Linked DNA regions of Mytilus edulis. The protein of the gene in region 2 purifies or fractionates together with the protein of the main gene of each other region. This does not show direct contact. Links are inferred from orthologs where the notes say so. Each region holds a gene or a part of one and is shown on either strand. Other genes may lie near its edges.

What was found. Proteins that work in one complex are often made in the same cells at the same time.
Region 1: the proteins of tRNA-splicing endonuclease subunit Sen2-like (region 2) and polyribonucleotide 5'-hydroxyl-kinase Clp1-like purify together in Homo sapiens (affinity purification with mass spectrometry; 3 studies listed by BioGRID and IntAct, counting the BioPlex papers as one, with this or other methods). This does not show direct contact. The link is inferred for Mytilus edulis from reciprocal best matches to the Homo sapiens genes TSEN2 and CLP1.

What each region holds. Positions count from the first base shown.
Region 1 is NC_092345.1:102,190,032-102,198,085, reverse strand, and holds the start of polyribonucleotide 5'-hydroxyl-kinase Clp1-like, read right to left. Parts: upstream 3,808-8,054; 5' UTR 3,681-3,807; coding exon 3,660-3,680; intron 1-3,659. UniProt on the Homo sapiens protein: Polynucleotide kinase that can phosphorylate the 5'-hydroxyl groups of double-stranded RNA (dsRNA), single-stranded RNA (ssRNA), double-stranded DNA (dsDNA) and double-stranded DNA:RNA hybrids. dsRNA is phosphorylated more efficiently than dsDNA, and the RNA component of a DNA:RNA hybrid is phosphorylated more efficiently than the DNA component.
Region 2 is NC_092355.1:3,469,810-3,478,847, reverse strand, and holds the start of tRNA-splicing endonuclease subunit Sen2-like, read left to right. Parts: upstream 1-5,439; 5' UTR 5,440-5,542; intron 5,543-6,788; exon of another isoform or gene 6,789-6,874; 5' UTR 6,875-6,900; coding exon 6,901-7,086; intron 7,087-9,038. Other genes in the region: protein smoothened-like, read right to left, coding at 577-999.

The DNA of each region.
Region 1 (8,054 bases), on a different chromosome or scaffold from region 2:
TAAAGAATAAGCAACACGAACCCCACCAAAAACTAAGCATGATCTCAGGTGCTCTGGAAGGGTAAGCAGATCCTGCTCCACATGTGGCACCCGTCGTGTTGCTTATGTGATAACAAATCCGGTAAATAGTCTAATTCGGTAGGTCACATTCATGAAAGGGAAGATGATTGTAGTTACTTTGTAAGGAACATAATTATCCGATATCATTTGTGAAACGGTTATTCAATAACAGTCAACCAACTCGTCATCACGTCCATAAAATTATTGAAGGAATGATTTAAACTTCACCATTTGGAACTCTTGGTTTAATAGCATACGTGTGAGCAGCAACTCTCTATCAAGAAAATCATGATAGGAAATGCAAGCACAGGAATATCGTATCAATTGGGAGATGGGAGATATATACCCCATATGCAAAAACGCTGTTTTTTTGGGCTTGTAAATGAGAACTGTTCTGAAGATAATAGACAAGGGAAATTTTCATTGTCCATGAAATTACACTAAAATGATGAGTAAAGACATGATGGTCACATCTGAAAAGGACAGTCAATTAAAAATTCTATTTGCACATAGAAGTCCTGAGAAATTCAATGAGAAGAAGACAGCCGGAGATACATTTTGTACATGTATGTACATAACATCCCAATAGGTCTCCAGTCACAAACTTTTAGCACCAACAAAGAAAGAGACATACGAGATAACAATGAATATGATAGGAGAATATTTAAAGATTTCAGGGGGATTCCAGGAAACACTAAGCCTTGAAGAATTCCGATACAGTGCCTAAACAATTTAACTAAATTAAACAATGTGACATTACCCAGAGAAACTACAAGTAAGCACAAAGAGACCAGATGTGTCAAAGCTAAATATTGACCGTAGGATCAGGATCACCAGCCTCACTGTGACTGCCACTAGTCAGTTTGCCAACCCTTGATGGGTTTAAACAGGCACTGGCTATCTTCACCATTTTCATAAATTGTAGTTATTGGATTATTAACTGTAAATACTTGGTTTTTTTAACTGTATATCATTATATAGAGGTGACTGTATGGCATGTATGTGTCAGTGTGAATATACTCAAAATGAGTCCTACACTTAATCAGAAGAAACAATTCAACTAATTTATACCCAAAATATAACATATATATGTCGATCATTTAATTGTTACATAAAAACAGCTTCTCATACTGTTATTTTCAAAAACAGGACGTTTCGACTTACCCGAACATCCGCAACCTCAATCGTAACAGCAAAAACAAAATTAAAGTACATGGAGGAAAATACATGGAGGAAGATACACATAGGGCGTAATATGCACCAATGAGAAGAGTTGTGCCATAAGGCCATAAGATTGAGATTTGAGGATCATACATATACAGACTCGTTCTCTTTGTCAGGTAACATTTTTGTCAAAAATTCTAGGCTACAGAAAATTAAACGAACAGAGAAAAAATGTTCCTGTTGAGGCTGTACATACTAAGTCTTTAGTCTTTAGAAGTGTCAACTTGACACTATAATCTCTATCTGTAATTTCGATCACTCTGGTAATTTTATGGCTCTATTGTATTAAAATCATTAGTACATTTGTATTTATGATGTGGCACTACAGAGAAACTAAATAAACTAGTATCTCAATTGTTTGTAAAACAATTGAAAGGTCTTTCCTGTAAAAGTAATGTTTTCTTAATGTTCTTTGTACGACCTTTCGTTTGATATACGACAAGCATACCTTCTGAAACTTTTCGCTTTTTACACTTAATGACCTCATCAGCCTACATTTTTGAGATCGGAAGTATGATATATGTAACACAGGGTAGATGAGATTTCGTTTGATATGCGACAACGCCATGTTCTAAAAAGTTTGATTTTTACACTTAATAACCCTACCCAACTAATTTTTGGAGGTTGGGAATTTGATATTTCAAATGTACACATCATGACCTTTCATTTGATATACAACAACCTTACCGTAAAAGAAGATTTATTTTTTGCACTCAATGACCCCATCCAACCCATTTTTGGGAGACGTCAATTTGAAATTTGAAATGTACGCTTTATATTCTTTCATTTGATATGCGACAACCTTACCATCTGAGAAATTTGAATGTTTGCACTAAATGACCCCACCCGTCCCCCTGGGATGAAAAAGGGGTTTAAAATTTTCATTTTTAAGTAGAGTTTATTAAGACCTTCAATATGATATATCAGATGACCCCATATGACAAAGTGCAAATAATGATGTAATATCAACTATATAAATAGAAGTTATGAAACTTACAAAGTCAATGCAAAGCTTGAAATTTTCAAATTGATTTTTTGGTGTTTTTTTTCCATGGAATATTTTTCGTATTTGGTCAAACATATAACTATGTCAACCTCTTCAATTTCTAAAACATTTTAAGTGCTAAGCTCTGGTTGATTCAGAAATACATGCCTCCGCTCGCAAAACTTCAAACTGCATTATCTCAAAAACGACAATAGATATCTCAAATCTGTTAAATGATAAATGATCTACAGTTGAAGGACAACATTATAGGAAAAGAATTGAAACAATTTGAAAGTTCAACAAGGTCACAATTAATCATCAAATATATGATGCAAAACCAAACTTGAGAACCGGAAGTCGTAGAGACATGGGACTATCACCATTCAACTCAAGACCACTTGACCTTTCAAATATCACAAGGTCAAGGTCATAGTATAATATGAAGGTCAAGGTGAAATTTCATCATGACCTGACATTGACCTCAAATTGAAGGCCTTGAATTACTGATCATCTTTGCTGTTGATAGTAGGTTGATATCTGTTACCTTTAAAAAGATATACACACAATACTATACTTGTAAGACTCATCCCGTTGTAACTTTTGAACAGACGGTCGGACATTTTTGGGCTTATTGTATAAAATGTAGAACTCGTTGTGAAGAACATTTTATACGCTATATGTATGCAGTAAAGTCTTATCGTTTTTCTAATATGTAAGCTTGAGATTGCAGCGTAATTTTTTTTTTGCACTCGGTGACCTTTGACCTTGGATGCATATTAAAGGTCATATGAATTTAAGATTATTGGTGAAGGTTCCAAGTCTCTATGACTTTCGGTTCTCAAAATAGAATTTTTGAAAAATTATTTTTAAATTTTAAAGGGAAATAACTCCTTATAAGGGATGGCAACAAATTAATTGTTTATGTTTATAAACATTTCCATCTGTTCTTATACATGCTGTCATTTTCAATTCAATTCTATCTCTAATACTTTTTGAGAAAAATGCAAATAAAAGAAATTGTTTCAAGGGGATATAACTCTCAAAGGGGATGATGAAATCTTATGCAGCCTCATATGGTAATACATCATGATGAGATCTACCTATTGACCAATTAAAGTTATGATACCTTTTAACTAATTTTGGGGGGACCATGTTGAAAAAAATCAATAAATGGGAGATTACTCCTCAAGGGGAGGGTGAAATCCTACAAAAGTTCATCTGGTAAAAGTTCATGTTGAGGTCTATCGATGGTTCAATTTTGGTATTGATAACTCCAATAGAAGCGGTAGGAGGGCCTGCCAAAAATACAAATCCTTGTTCAAAGGATTCAAAATCAGCTTTGTGATCTTAAGCCATAAAACGTTAAAACAAATATGTGTATATTAAATACCTCTTTCTTTTCTTCGGACATGTTTTATTCCTGTGCCGATGAGCAGCAAAACTTCTGCTAAATTATGTTTCAACAAAATTTGTTTCTCATGGGGGCTGCCATTTTAAAAATTACTCTTTAAACATTTGATTTTTTTATGTTCAGCATTTCTGATTTAAGTTCTTTGTATTTGAATTATACTTAATATTAAATAAAATTTAATTGATACATAATTTCTATCATTAATTATCAATGTTTAACCTTTCAATTCATATATACTCTCTAAATATAGTCAAAATCATTCATGCGTTTTATACGGAATACACTTTACAGAGACGGATAAGCTTCTTGTTTGGAAATAATATTGGCCTACTTTCTGTTCTATTCTTTTCTATTCTGTTCCAAAAGAACAAAACAAAGATTGGTAAGTTGATTAGTATTGAGTAGAATTAACTAGAGAAAAAGGCAAGCATGTATATTTATCGAAAGCTATGAACGAAAAAAAATGAAATAGAAAAGATGTTTTTTTGCACAGAATTTCAGAAATTATAAATGATTATAGACAGACTAAAGAATCTTATTTGTATATAGTGGCTATAGTATTTTTACCTGATAAATATTGAATATTGTACAATGTATTCTTTATGATGTACATGTATATGAGACAAAATTATAGTTACCTGTACCATTATAAACTTGTACCAATGTCAACTCATACCACTAAAAAAAACTTGTACTAATGCAAACTTGTACCACTGCTAACTTGTACCACTGTAAATTCATACCATTGTAAACTTGTACCAACTTATATAATTATTGAAATGCATTGAACATTTTGAAATGGTGTTTAATGATGAATATACAGTGGAGTAGTCCCCGGTGTCTGCGCGGCCCGTGATATCGCGCATTAGCTTATTTTGTCATATCAACACAGTATCACAAACACAATCGTTCTTGTTATTGTTTTAGCCATCTGAAGGGATAAAAAAGAATAAAATTGATAAGTTCAAGAGTTAATTAATAACTGCAATCCCGTAATTTGCCATATTTGGCCAATTTCCGTTAAAAAAAAATACATCATCAGATAAAATTTGTTTTATTTAAGTCAAACTTATATCAGATTGAAATGATTTTTGCTCTGCATCCTTGGCAGTGTTTTTGGTTCAAACTCAGCTATATTTCGTAGTATAAAATCTTTTCTTTTTTTAAAATAAGCTATTTTTGGAAGGCATGCGCGAAATCACCGGACATTGGAGGAACTCTCAGAACAGGGTTTCCCTAATTTTGGACACATATTACACAAAATCTTGAGGGTGAAACCATACAAACAGAAGATTTTATGAAATAAAAGTATGTTATGAATGTGTTCACATAATATTATTCATTTATTGGTTTTATCAGTTGAATGAAGTGAAGTCATAAGTCTTAGGTGAGCGGATACACCGGACTGCACCGTATACTTTAATTTCACTCAATACCTCTTAAGTCTGTAAAATGTATAATATGAGGCAGGCATTACCTGTGAAAGGGAACGAAGTCTATGATTTTATTTTAATTCAAACATATCTTAATTTCGAAACGGAAATACCGTAATGTTTCCGATTTTGGTTCTCTTGTTAGGGATTTTAGTTGTGCCGTTATTTAAGTTATGACGTCATATGCAATTTTAACAAAGAAACGCTATCATTAGGTAACGTTTTTTCATATCAAGGAATTATTAAAAAAATGAAATTGATATTGCGTTCCTTCCTATTTTATACTAAACTGATAAATATATATATTTTACTCAAAATTTCATGCAAACAAGACCGGAAAAAGGAAGAACATTGTAGATTTCTGCGCAGATGCAGGAATTCAAAACATGACATAAAAAAAATTGAACTATTTTGAGTTCATTAGTACAATGAAAATATCGGGAAAATTTTTCCGTTTTTTTTTTTTATTGAATTTTCTACTGTTATTGGGGACTTTGTCCCCATATAATTTGAAATTACGTTGACCCATGTGTAGCTTATTTTCCATGTCTAACTAATTCCCATAATTGACCCTGTTATTATAGATCGCTTTTTTTAGTTGTCTCTTTTATGAGGTACATTAATTTGTATTTACAATGGAGAGCTACAATGTAGCAGAAAGAGCAAATTAACCTGATCGTAAATTCGTAATGTGAGTAATCGTTCACACAATGACAAGATCAAGTTAGAATTTGTTCCGTTACAATGATTTTTGTCGAGCCTTCGACTTTAGAAGAAAAAGCGAGACAGCGATCCTACATTCCATCGGTGTCATCGACGGCGTCCACAAATATTCACTCTGTGGTTAAAGTTTTTGAAATTTTAATAACTTTCTTGAAATATCCTACATTGTAGATTTCTACCAAACTTGGACAGAAGCTTGTTTATGTTCATAAGATAGTATCCAGGAGTAAATTTTGTAAAAATAAAATTCCATTTTTTCCATATTTTACATTTTTTTACTTATAAATGGACTTAGTTTTTCTGCTCGGAACCATTACATGTACATGCAATCTGTGGTTAAAGTTTTTAAAATTTTAATAACTTTCTTAAACTATCCTGGAATTGTACGAAACTTGGCCAGAAGCTTGTTTTTCTTCTAGTTAACATTACATACAGTCTGCAGTTAAAGTTGTTAAAACATTTTTAAGTTTCTTAAACTAGCCTGGAATTTTACCGAACTTGAACAGAAGCTTCTGACAATCAAAAGATAGTATCGAGAGGAATAATTTTGTTGATTTTTTTCTTCATTTTTGTTGAGTGTGTGATTAACAGCAAAAGTAGACAGGACAATGGGTTCCGCGGAACCCTTATAAATTTTTTAACCAGATTGGGACTATTTAATACCATGCAATACTCACAATATGCTTGTTTTTGGGGGAAAGACGGCTTCAAGCCGTCAATCCCATATGGGGTTGACCAGAGTGACATTCCCTCACATCATTCATTTTGTTTTTATAGTGTGATTACCCCCAAAAAATCTTACTGAGCTTGATGAGAAGGAAACACACAAATGAAAAGATTGACTTTAAATACTTTTCTACATATTTCCCTTCTGTTTCTAGCGAAATTATCGTATTTTGAGCTCTCTTTTACACTATTTACGTTTCTTTTACAATCCGGAAAAATCAGTGACGAGATATTCTAAATATATCCAACCTACATTATATTTTATAATGACGTCATTGTTGGAATGCCACACTATGAAGAAGCAGGGATATTCTTCACTGGTTATTTAAATCATTCTCAGAGTTCGTGCACTAATTGTAAATTATTTGTTAAATTTAAACATAATTATGTTTGCTGTAGATGATTCAAACATCAACATGCAATACTTTAATTTGTAGGTCAACAACTTTCAGAGTAAACAAGGGTCGTGGAGATACATGTACATGAGATCGGGGAGAGAAACAATTTTTTTCATTTTTTCTGTAAAATTCTGTTCTGTGAATCTTCCTCCAAATCAGGAGCACCTCAATTGATGAGTAATTATCCACTAAAATAAAACTTGAAAATGTGACATTTAGTATATGATTAGTAGTCTTCCATTAAAACTAAATTGTGTGTACCAACAAATAAATCATTGTAATGGTAAAAAATGTTTCTTTTAAAAAGTTGCATTTTATAGTTTAAACCTATAATAATTTATTCATGAAATTTACAAATATTTCAAAATGTAGGATCTGGAAACAAGCTTCACACATTTTACATCAATCATATTATTTTTTATTAGTACCTGTACCCCTGTGATGAGAGTTGTAACTGGGAACTTTATCAATGGAAATTTGAAATTAAATAGATTTTTCAGTCCTAACTTTCTTAAGAAAAAAATTAAAAATCTTAGAGTACTGTCACAAAAAATGGAAAATTCAGTTCAGTGGTACACAATTAAGATTTCAGAAAACATTGTAGTTGTTGTTAAATGACAGAAATCAGTTGAATTTTACATAATTAACTATCAACTTTAATCGAATGTTTAGATTTAGAAGATGCAGATCTCTTGGTCCAAATTGAATCATACTAAGGAAACAAAATTAAATTAAACAACAATTGACTTCAATATTGTCAACCTTTCTACATGTTCTAGCTGTTCTCTTTTTTCATTCTTTATATATGAAGACTATCAAAAGATACCCCCCCCCAAAAAAAAAAAGAAGAGACAAGGGCCATCTTTCCCCTCAGAGCTATTCAGCTCTTTGATTTCTGAAGTGCTGCCCAAAAATATATTGATATAGTTAATTCCTGAATTATGTGTGTTGCAGAATTTTCGGTTTCAAATTTTGATCCAATTTAAATACAGTAATTCTGTGAAGATTATATGTGACAGAGGACAAACAACATATCAGTAGCTATTTAAAATAAGCTTTTTCTCACTGAAATAAAAATTTATGAAATAGATCTG
Region 2 (9,038 bases):
ACAATGTTTAAATAAAACTATAATACACAGATTTTAAGTTAGTGTTTCATAAATCAATTTAAAATTTTTGAATAATTCTGAATATTAATATTTTATTTATCCATCACAAAAATATGAAATTTATAAGGTGTTGTATTAATGTTTTATGTTCAGTACAAAAAATGTAACTCATTAAGTTATTGTTTTATGTAATAACTTTTACTAATATCATAAATATTACAACATGTAACTTATAAATTCATTATAAAATATATAGCACTCTTTGGCTAAATCATGATATGCATGATAAAATCTTAAAAACTTAGATTTCTGCACATATATACATTAACAAATATCATTTTGCAAACTGTAAATTCAGAAATCATTGCGAGGTTTTTATTAATGCGAATATTGCGAATGGTGATGTATCACAAATAATAAGAACTCCCATTTTGTTGCCTGATACATATATCTGTATGAAGATGTTTCGAAAAATCGCAATATTTGATCTCGCATTTTTGTCCATTCTATAAAGACGGCAATAATAAATTCACACAATAATTTCTGAATTTTACAGTATGTAACATATAAACTTACTGGACAGCCCGTCTCAAAATGGCTTTCATCACAGTCTAAGAAATCAGGCCAGGCTCCATGGTAAATCTCAACAATTTTACATGGTGATTTTATCTTCTTACATAATTCTTTACTAGGCAACTCCACCTGCCCACCATCACATTTAGGCAAGTACACTGAACAAAGAAAGGGTTGCACCAATGACCAGCATTCGGGAACATATTTCAAACCCTCCCAGAGTTTTAATTTTTCGTTTACTGAACTTAATGTTGAAGAATCTATGAATTCCAGCGATGTATTAGTGAAGGTCAAGGTAACACCAAGACATGTGGTTGTAGTTCCGAGTGACTGGCACGTTGCATTTTTGTAACAAGTCTGACTGGATGAAATATCTACTATCAAAAGTAATAATGCTGCCTCTCTTAACACCATTTTGGAAAACATTGAAGTGAAAATTCAAAGACACAACAATATGAAACCAAAACATTTAAGCTTTATCATGTTTAAAAGAATCACTTTAACTAAAAGGTGTCAAAACACTGTTAATTGTTTTAAAACTGGCTTTTCATAGAATGTATCTAGAGGTTTATTTGAGTATCCAAGTATATTAATGTTTGTGCCACGTTTCCATACTAACAAGAATATCATTGGTTCCAGTTAATGATGTGTTCATATAAAGGATCATGGAACAGTTATTGAACTTTTCCATATTATTTTACAAAATTGTTATTGTAGTTCTTCATCTAAACGCTGTGACAACTAAATGCAATGTGAACTTTTAACCCAACATCTTCTCTGTACATGTACCATGTATGTTTGAAACACGTTGGGATGAAACAGGCACCATTCGTTCTCCCATCCTCCAGAAATTCTCTAACCTGTAATTGAAATTATTGTATTATTATAAGGTAAATGGAAGATCTAAATTCTATAGGTAACAAATATTTACAATGTACCACATTTATATCTCGAATCCAGATGTCGACTTTCTCTTATGAATTGTCTCACATTTTGACATACCAGGGTCTTTAACAGCTTACTACATAAAATGGGTTCCATTGTTTTGCTCAGTGTTGAAGGCTGTTTTGTGATAAGTTATTCTCATTCTTTGGTCTCTTGTTGATAGTTGACCCATTGGTTGCAATCATAAAACATCTCCTTATTTATACATTAAGTGTATCAAATTGGATGCAGATGTCTATCCTTTATTCTATTAAATTAAGCTTAAAAATACAGAACAAAAATTTAAACTGTGACAAATGATAATAATTTAATTTTGGATGTAAAGCTTCTTCTGATTGGCTGACGTTATTTTGTTCTCAGCCCATAGACATAATTTAGTCATGTGATTGTGACGTTTTTTCATGGTTTTTTACGGTTTAAAATGGAATTTAGAATTAAATTATAAGAAATGATATTTTTTTGGTCTATTCGAAATAGACTCAAAAACAATAAAATGAAGTTAAAATATAAATTGGAAATTCAAAGTAAAATTTTTAGTTTGTAATATATTAAATGCAGCTCTGATCAATTGAAGTCAATGTTACAGATGATCATGAGATAAAATTAAGTTACTACAACATCTAAGGGTAAAATCTTTAATTGTATCATTTTTTTCTTATAAATTTCTTACCTTTAATTTTAAAATATAAAGAAATCGAATTTCATCCACAGAAAAATCATGTGATACGCTTCTTAAACAAGTATATTTGTACAATGTAACTGTGCTATCATTTTAAATTACAAAGCAAATAAATTCTGGTTAATCTTCAGTAAGTTTAATTCAAATGTATCTGTTGGATTTGTAGCAATAAAGAGAGGAACATATTCAAACAACTTTAAATGCTATAACACCCACTAAAATATCAAATTTCAAAAACGTAAAAAATATTCAAAGAGGCCAAAAAATTGACAAGTCGTTCATCCAAAAACAGGCTTTAATCAACTATCATGTCTATAATGCAAAATATGACAGATTTTATGAATGAAATTCTCTTTAAACTTTGACCTTTAAATATGACACTTAAATAGATATAATTACTTATTGACTAATTGCCAAATACTGGATGCCTCTACGTTATGACCTTTTGAGCACTTAAAAAAAATTGTCATCAGGACATCAATTCAAATTGTTTCAATTGTTATAAAGAATAGAGATATAACCATGATAACTGAGAATTTCAAGTCTTCAAACTGACTAAATTAGAAATGAAAACACACATACATTAATAAGCTGATGCTGCAAATCATTGATACCTGTTCATTGCTGTTCACGACTTCTGTCTTTGACAGTGAAAAAAATATTCAACCAATTTTTAAGTCCTACACAATTACCAAAATAACAAGAAAACAAATTACATGTATGAATCCAAAGGACAGCTTGTGATCATTCTTCACTAACAAGACTAAGGGGAGCCAGACTTACCATTGGAATATTTATTATGAATTAATGAAATGAAACATTGAACTCTTATAAAAAAATTATGACCTAACTTGAGAAAAATTGTTTAACGCATGTTCTTACACCTCAAAACTTACACAAGTAAATTTTTGAGAAAATTAAGGGGAGATAATTCAAACATTATAATTAACTTATATCAGTTTATAAATTATTATTTATTTCTACTTCTTCAAGTAAATACAGATTACTTGTACAAGTAGTACCCCTGACTGACTATTAGTTTCCTACAAAAAAATCTAGATATACACTGAACTCCATAAACTTTGACAAATCTCAATTCTCAGATATATTTTTTTGTAATATAAAATCGAAGATCCTGGAAATTTGGGTTCAAATGTTTTTTAAGAGTTTGGTTTGTAAATTTAGTTTAGAATATCCCTAAGTGAAACCATTTGAAAAAAGAAGTAGGTTATCATGGTTATTGTCCTCACTAATGGAACCCTAACTTATTTTATCACTACTTTTGGATATTTCTAAAAATACAAGAACACAATACATGTAGGTATAGAATTTTTAAATATTCCAATTTTTCTGTAATCATTCACTGATGATTATTACATTGCAAAATTAAGAACAAAATTTCTATTAATTTCTAAAAATAATAATATTATGACATCGTAAGAGGGCAATAATAATATTACGACATCGTAAGAGGGCCACACAGCAAAATTAAAATTATGTCAAATCTAATTATCAACCTTTGGTATATATATTTATTAATCATATTTATTGATTGATGTTTAACACCACTTTAAGTGCTATTACGCTTAGTCCAAATAAATATGATGCCTTGAAATGCTATTTTATTCTTTTGTTTTGATGTCCATACATCTACATTTATACTATTGATCTGCAGTGTAAATCCATACTGCTGTGCTCTGCAGCGGAAATCCATACTGCTGTGCTCTGCAGTGGAAATCCATACTGCTGTGCTCTACAGTGGAAATCCATACTGCTGTGCTCTGCAGTGGAAATCCATACTGCTGTGCTCTGCAGCGAGGATTAATAGCAAAAAAAAAGAAGTTTATAATTAGTCATTAACCAGTCAAGGGTCTAACTTAAATAAGTTATCAGAGAAAAATAACATGCATGTGTTATTACAGACACTTTCATGAGTTGTCTACTCTTTTTTCCTTAATCTGTAATAACATAATTATGTTTGTTATCAGTTAAATATATCATAAATATTTTATCTTTAATGGGCACTTGGGAATTCTTTAAACTTTGCGCAGTAGTTTAATATATTTCCTTGATAACTAATTTTTAATTCCATTAATACAATTTTGATCAACCATGGTAAATCAATGAGACAAGGCTTTTAAGGGAAAACTAAACTGTAATAACAAGGCTTAGTTATTACAAGCATAAAACTTACAACATTGTATATGAGAGTAAATGAGACACTTGGAATCTTGCACAGTGCCTCATTACAAGCTCTATCATCATTTCTTACAATAAATTGAAATACATTGTTATGCAAGACTGTAAAGAGATATAGACATGATAGAGAAGCTGTAATAACACCCTTTGGTTATTGCAGGAATATATTTTCTGTAATAACATAGGTGTACTATGCATGATTTCTAAACTATGAGCTGTTATATCTTTGCAAAGGTTAGTATACTTAAAGAAAATTATAATATCAATAGAGCTGGAGAAAAATTTAACAAAAGAAAGGTTAACGTTGTATATTTCCCCTTTGAAACATGTAACATACATATGTTATCACAGTTTTTTGATATTTTAGCTCACAATAACAACATGTATGTTATTTTTCTCTAATAACTTATTTAAGTTAGACCCTTGACTGTTAATATAACTATATTGTGCTATTTCATGGGGTCAGTTTTTATCCTTGGAGAAAACCAGGGTGCAGAGAGTCATTGTATTATGAACATTCGTAGGTAAAATTACTAACCCTGTTTTAGAGCCAAACTCACAACCTCAATATTGACAGACTAGTGATACAGTAGACTATACATAGAGACTAAGAAGAGTATACCCTTATTTTCTATTTTTTAATTTTTTTAATTGAATAACTTCACATGCATGACATGTGATAACACCCTATTAATATAAAGAAATGTCAGTTTCTTTTGTGTTTTTAAATGTCTCTTTTCAACTGATATTTGCATCAAGCAATACACAATAGTAGTCATAGCTTCTAGATTTTTGAAGTTGTGTGAAAATCAACAAAGACCAAGGTGAGGTCAACCATACATTTTTGGTCAGTTTCTCTACTTTGTACTCGCTTTCAAATCAAACTACCCGCCATTTACTAACATAAGATAATATTGATTGTAATCGATAATCTGTTAAACACTTTGACTATGTAAATAAGTCAATAAAATGTTGATAAGTAGCCAACAACCTGTGTTCTTACCTGACCTAAATTAATCCATTGATCACGTGACAATGCTGACATCCGTTCTCAATATTAACCTCTACATGTGCAATGAGAAATATTGGTTTGATAAACATATGGCTAAAGAAAGCGTTCTAAATCAAAACAAGGAGATTAATTAAGTAATAGAGACAAACTTTTCAATATAATTATGATTTTTGATACATTTAACAAACAAATAGTGTTTAATAATAAAAGGGGGAAGGGCTATGTACATATTAAACAGGTCAGGAATAAACACCAATTGGTGGATTATACCTCAATTGACGTATAATCCACCAATTGAGGTATATTGGTATAGACCAATTGATGTATAATGCAAGTTTTTTTTGTAATTAAATGCTAGTGTGAGATAGGAGCATGATTTTGCAACTTGCAACCTATTTCATAACCCTTATTGAGTCCTCCGAAATTTCAGTTTTGTCAAAGCCTGCTGCATCTCTTGAGAATGCATGTGTACAACAATTCTTTTGTTGAAACATTTGTACTATTGACCATGATTGACTTTTGATAATGAAGGTCAACTATTAACAAAGAGCACCATTCACCTGTGGAGTTGTACACATGATCACATGACTGCAGACAGTAATGATGTCCATTGACAGGTGATTACAGGTAAATTTGCCAATCAGGAATTGACAAGATAACAATAGAAGAAACTTCAAATACAATTATCGATTAGATGCAATATGTTATGTCACTATACTAAACTAGGAATGTTTGACAAGTTTTCATACCATAAAATGGTTTTAAGAAAACAATGCTCCATTTGGGTGGAATAATTTGTTTTGAAAAACAAAGAATTATACACCAATTGGTCTATACCATTATATGTCAATTGGTGGATTATACGTCAATTGAGGTATAATCCACCAATTGGTGGTTATTCCTGACCTGTTAAAAAAAAGAGAAGAAAAGCCAAGTACAGAAAAAAATTAAAAGAAAATCTACAATGTTACATGATGACATGCTCTTCATGAGTTTACCACCTAAACACGTCAGGTGTACTTTATATAGTATCTTTTGTTATTCGGATGTACAAGTAGTTGAAGTACCAATTAGACTATGTTGACTTTGTTTTTGTAATATGTATTTCTATTTGTATCTAAATGGTAAGTTAAGCCTTTTCAACTGATTTTATAGTTTGTTCTTATGTTGTACTGTTACACCACTGTTCTGGGTAAGGAGAAGGTTGGGATCCAGCTAACATGTTTAATAAGGCTGTTAGTTTGAATTGTTTGAATTGTTTTACATTGTCATTTTGGGGCCTTTTATAGCTGACATCCATGGGATATGGGCTTTGCTCATTGTTGAAGGCCATACAGTGACCTATAGTTGTTAATTTCTGTGTCATTTTGGTCTCTTGTGGAGAGTTGTCTCATTGGCAATCATACCACATGATAAAAAGACAAACAATAATTTTCCAAGCATAGTAACTATTGCTTTCTATTCAGGTAAAAAAAAGTTTCTATTTGTTGGTATGGCATTCTCCAAGCTGGTTAATCCAAAAAAGAAGAAAAGAGTACATGCAGCCAAAGAGTCACCATTTCCAGTTCCCATAGCAACAGAACAGTATGAGAACACATGGTTCTACTACACAGGCTATCTCCATGATAACCACATAGAAATCAAACATAGTGGAGATATTGACAGACTGTACAAAATGGTGAGATCCTAAGTAAAAGTTTTACACTTATTGTGTGTTCAAGTTGCATTTATATATTGTGCAAGATTTGTTCCATGAAAGGTCCTTGAAGGACCTTTATATTCAAATAAGGAGATGTGGTATGGTTGCCAATATGACAACTATCCACCTGAGTGTATTTGAAGTAGATATACTTTTATCATAGGTTTAGTAGTAAATACAGTAGTTTTGAATATTTGATAAATAGCTTGCTGTTTAATCCATATCGCGCAACTTTGATTTGCAACCTTTATGGCATACCCTTTATCACACCCCTACCCTTTATCGCATACCCTTTATCACACCTTTACCCTTTATCACACCCCTACTTTTTTTTTTTACATGAAGTCACTTTTTATAATGTAAACTTAAGAAATATTTTTCCCTTGGGCTGATATTGGTGTCTCGGGATGATACAACATATGATACGGATTTTGCCATGTATTATTCTCTATTAATTGGCCACTGTACAGACATCAACAGAGAAAAAAACCCATACCCATTACCCAAATGATGGCTGCTCAAGGGTTTCGATATGAAAAATGTGTATCAATACAAATAAATGAGAAAACTATTTATAAGTACAAAAACAATGTACATATAAAAAAGAAGATGTGGTATGATTGCCAATGAGACAGCTATCCACAAAAGACCAAAATGACACAGACATTAACAACTATAGGTCTCCGTACGGCCTTCAACAATGAGCAAAGCCCATACTGCATAGTCAGTTATAAAAGGCCCCGATAAGACAATGTAAAACAATTCAAACGAGAAAACTAATGGCCTTATTTATGTAAAATTTATATACATGTACATTTACATATAACACTTGTATTAATAATAATTGTTTATGGCATAAAGTTGTTATACAGCATACCTTAAAAATCAGCTTCACTATTTTTTTTTTTTTTCCCCAAGTAATTAAGGTTAACTATTCAAAGGAATTTATAGATGTTCCTTGTTAACTTGACCAACTGACTCACAAACTGTTTTAATACTGTAAACAGTCGGACAACTAAAATAATTTAAATATCTTAAATTTGGCTTTGAAGAACTTTTCATAATCTTCAAAGATTAAAACACTCTCTACCTAATTTGGTTACTAATTGATTTATTGCATAATTAATGTATTTTTATGCCCCACCTACGATCCACCTACGATAGTAGAGGGGCATTATGTTTTCTGGTCTGTGCGTCCGTTCGTCCGTCCGTTCGTTCGTCCGTCTGTTCGTTCGTCCGTCTGTCCCGCTTCAGGTTAAAGTTTTTGGTCAAGGTAGTTTTTGATGAAGTTGAAGTCCAATCAACTTGAAACTTAGTACACATGTTCCTTATGATATGATCTTTCTAATTTTAAAGCCAAATTAAACTTTTGACCCCAATTTCACGGTCCACTGAACATAGAAAATGAAAGTGCATGTTTCAGGTTCAAGTTTTTGGTCAAGGTAGTTATGTTTCAGGTTAAAGTTTTTGGTCAAGGTAGTTTTTGATGAAGTTGAAGTCCAGTCAACTTGAAACTTAGTACACATGTTCCTTATGATATGATCTTTCTAATTTTAAAGCCAAATTAAACTTTTGACCCCAATTTCACGGTCCACTGAACATAGAAAATGAAAGTGCATGTTTCAGGTTCAAGTTTTTGGTCAAGGTAGTTATGTTTCAGGTTAAAGTTTTTGGTCAAGGTAGTTTTTGATGAAGTTGAAGTCCAATCAACTTGAAACTTAGTACACATGTTTCTTATGATATGGTCTTTCTAATTTTAAAGCCAAATTAAACTTTTGACCCCAATTTCACGGTCCATTGAACATAGAAAATGAAAGTGCATGTTTCAGGTTTAAGTTTTTGGTCAAGATAGTTTTTGATGAAGTTGAAGTCCAATCAACTTGAAACTTAGTACACATATTCCTTATGATATGATCTTTCTAATTTTAAAG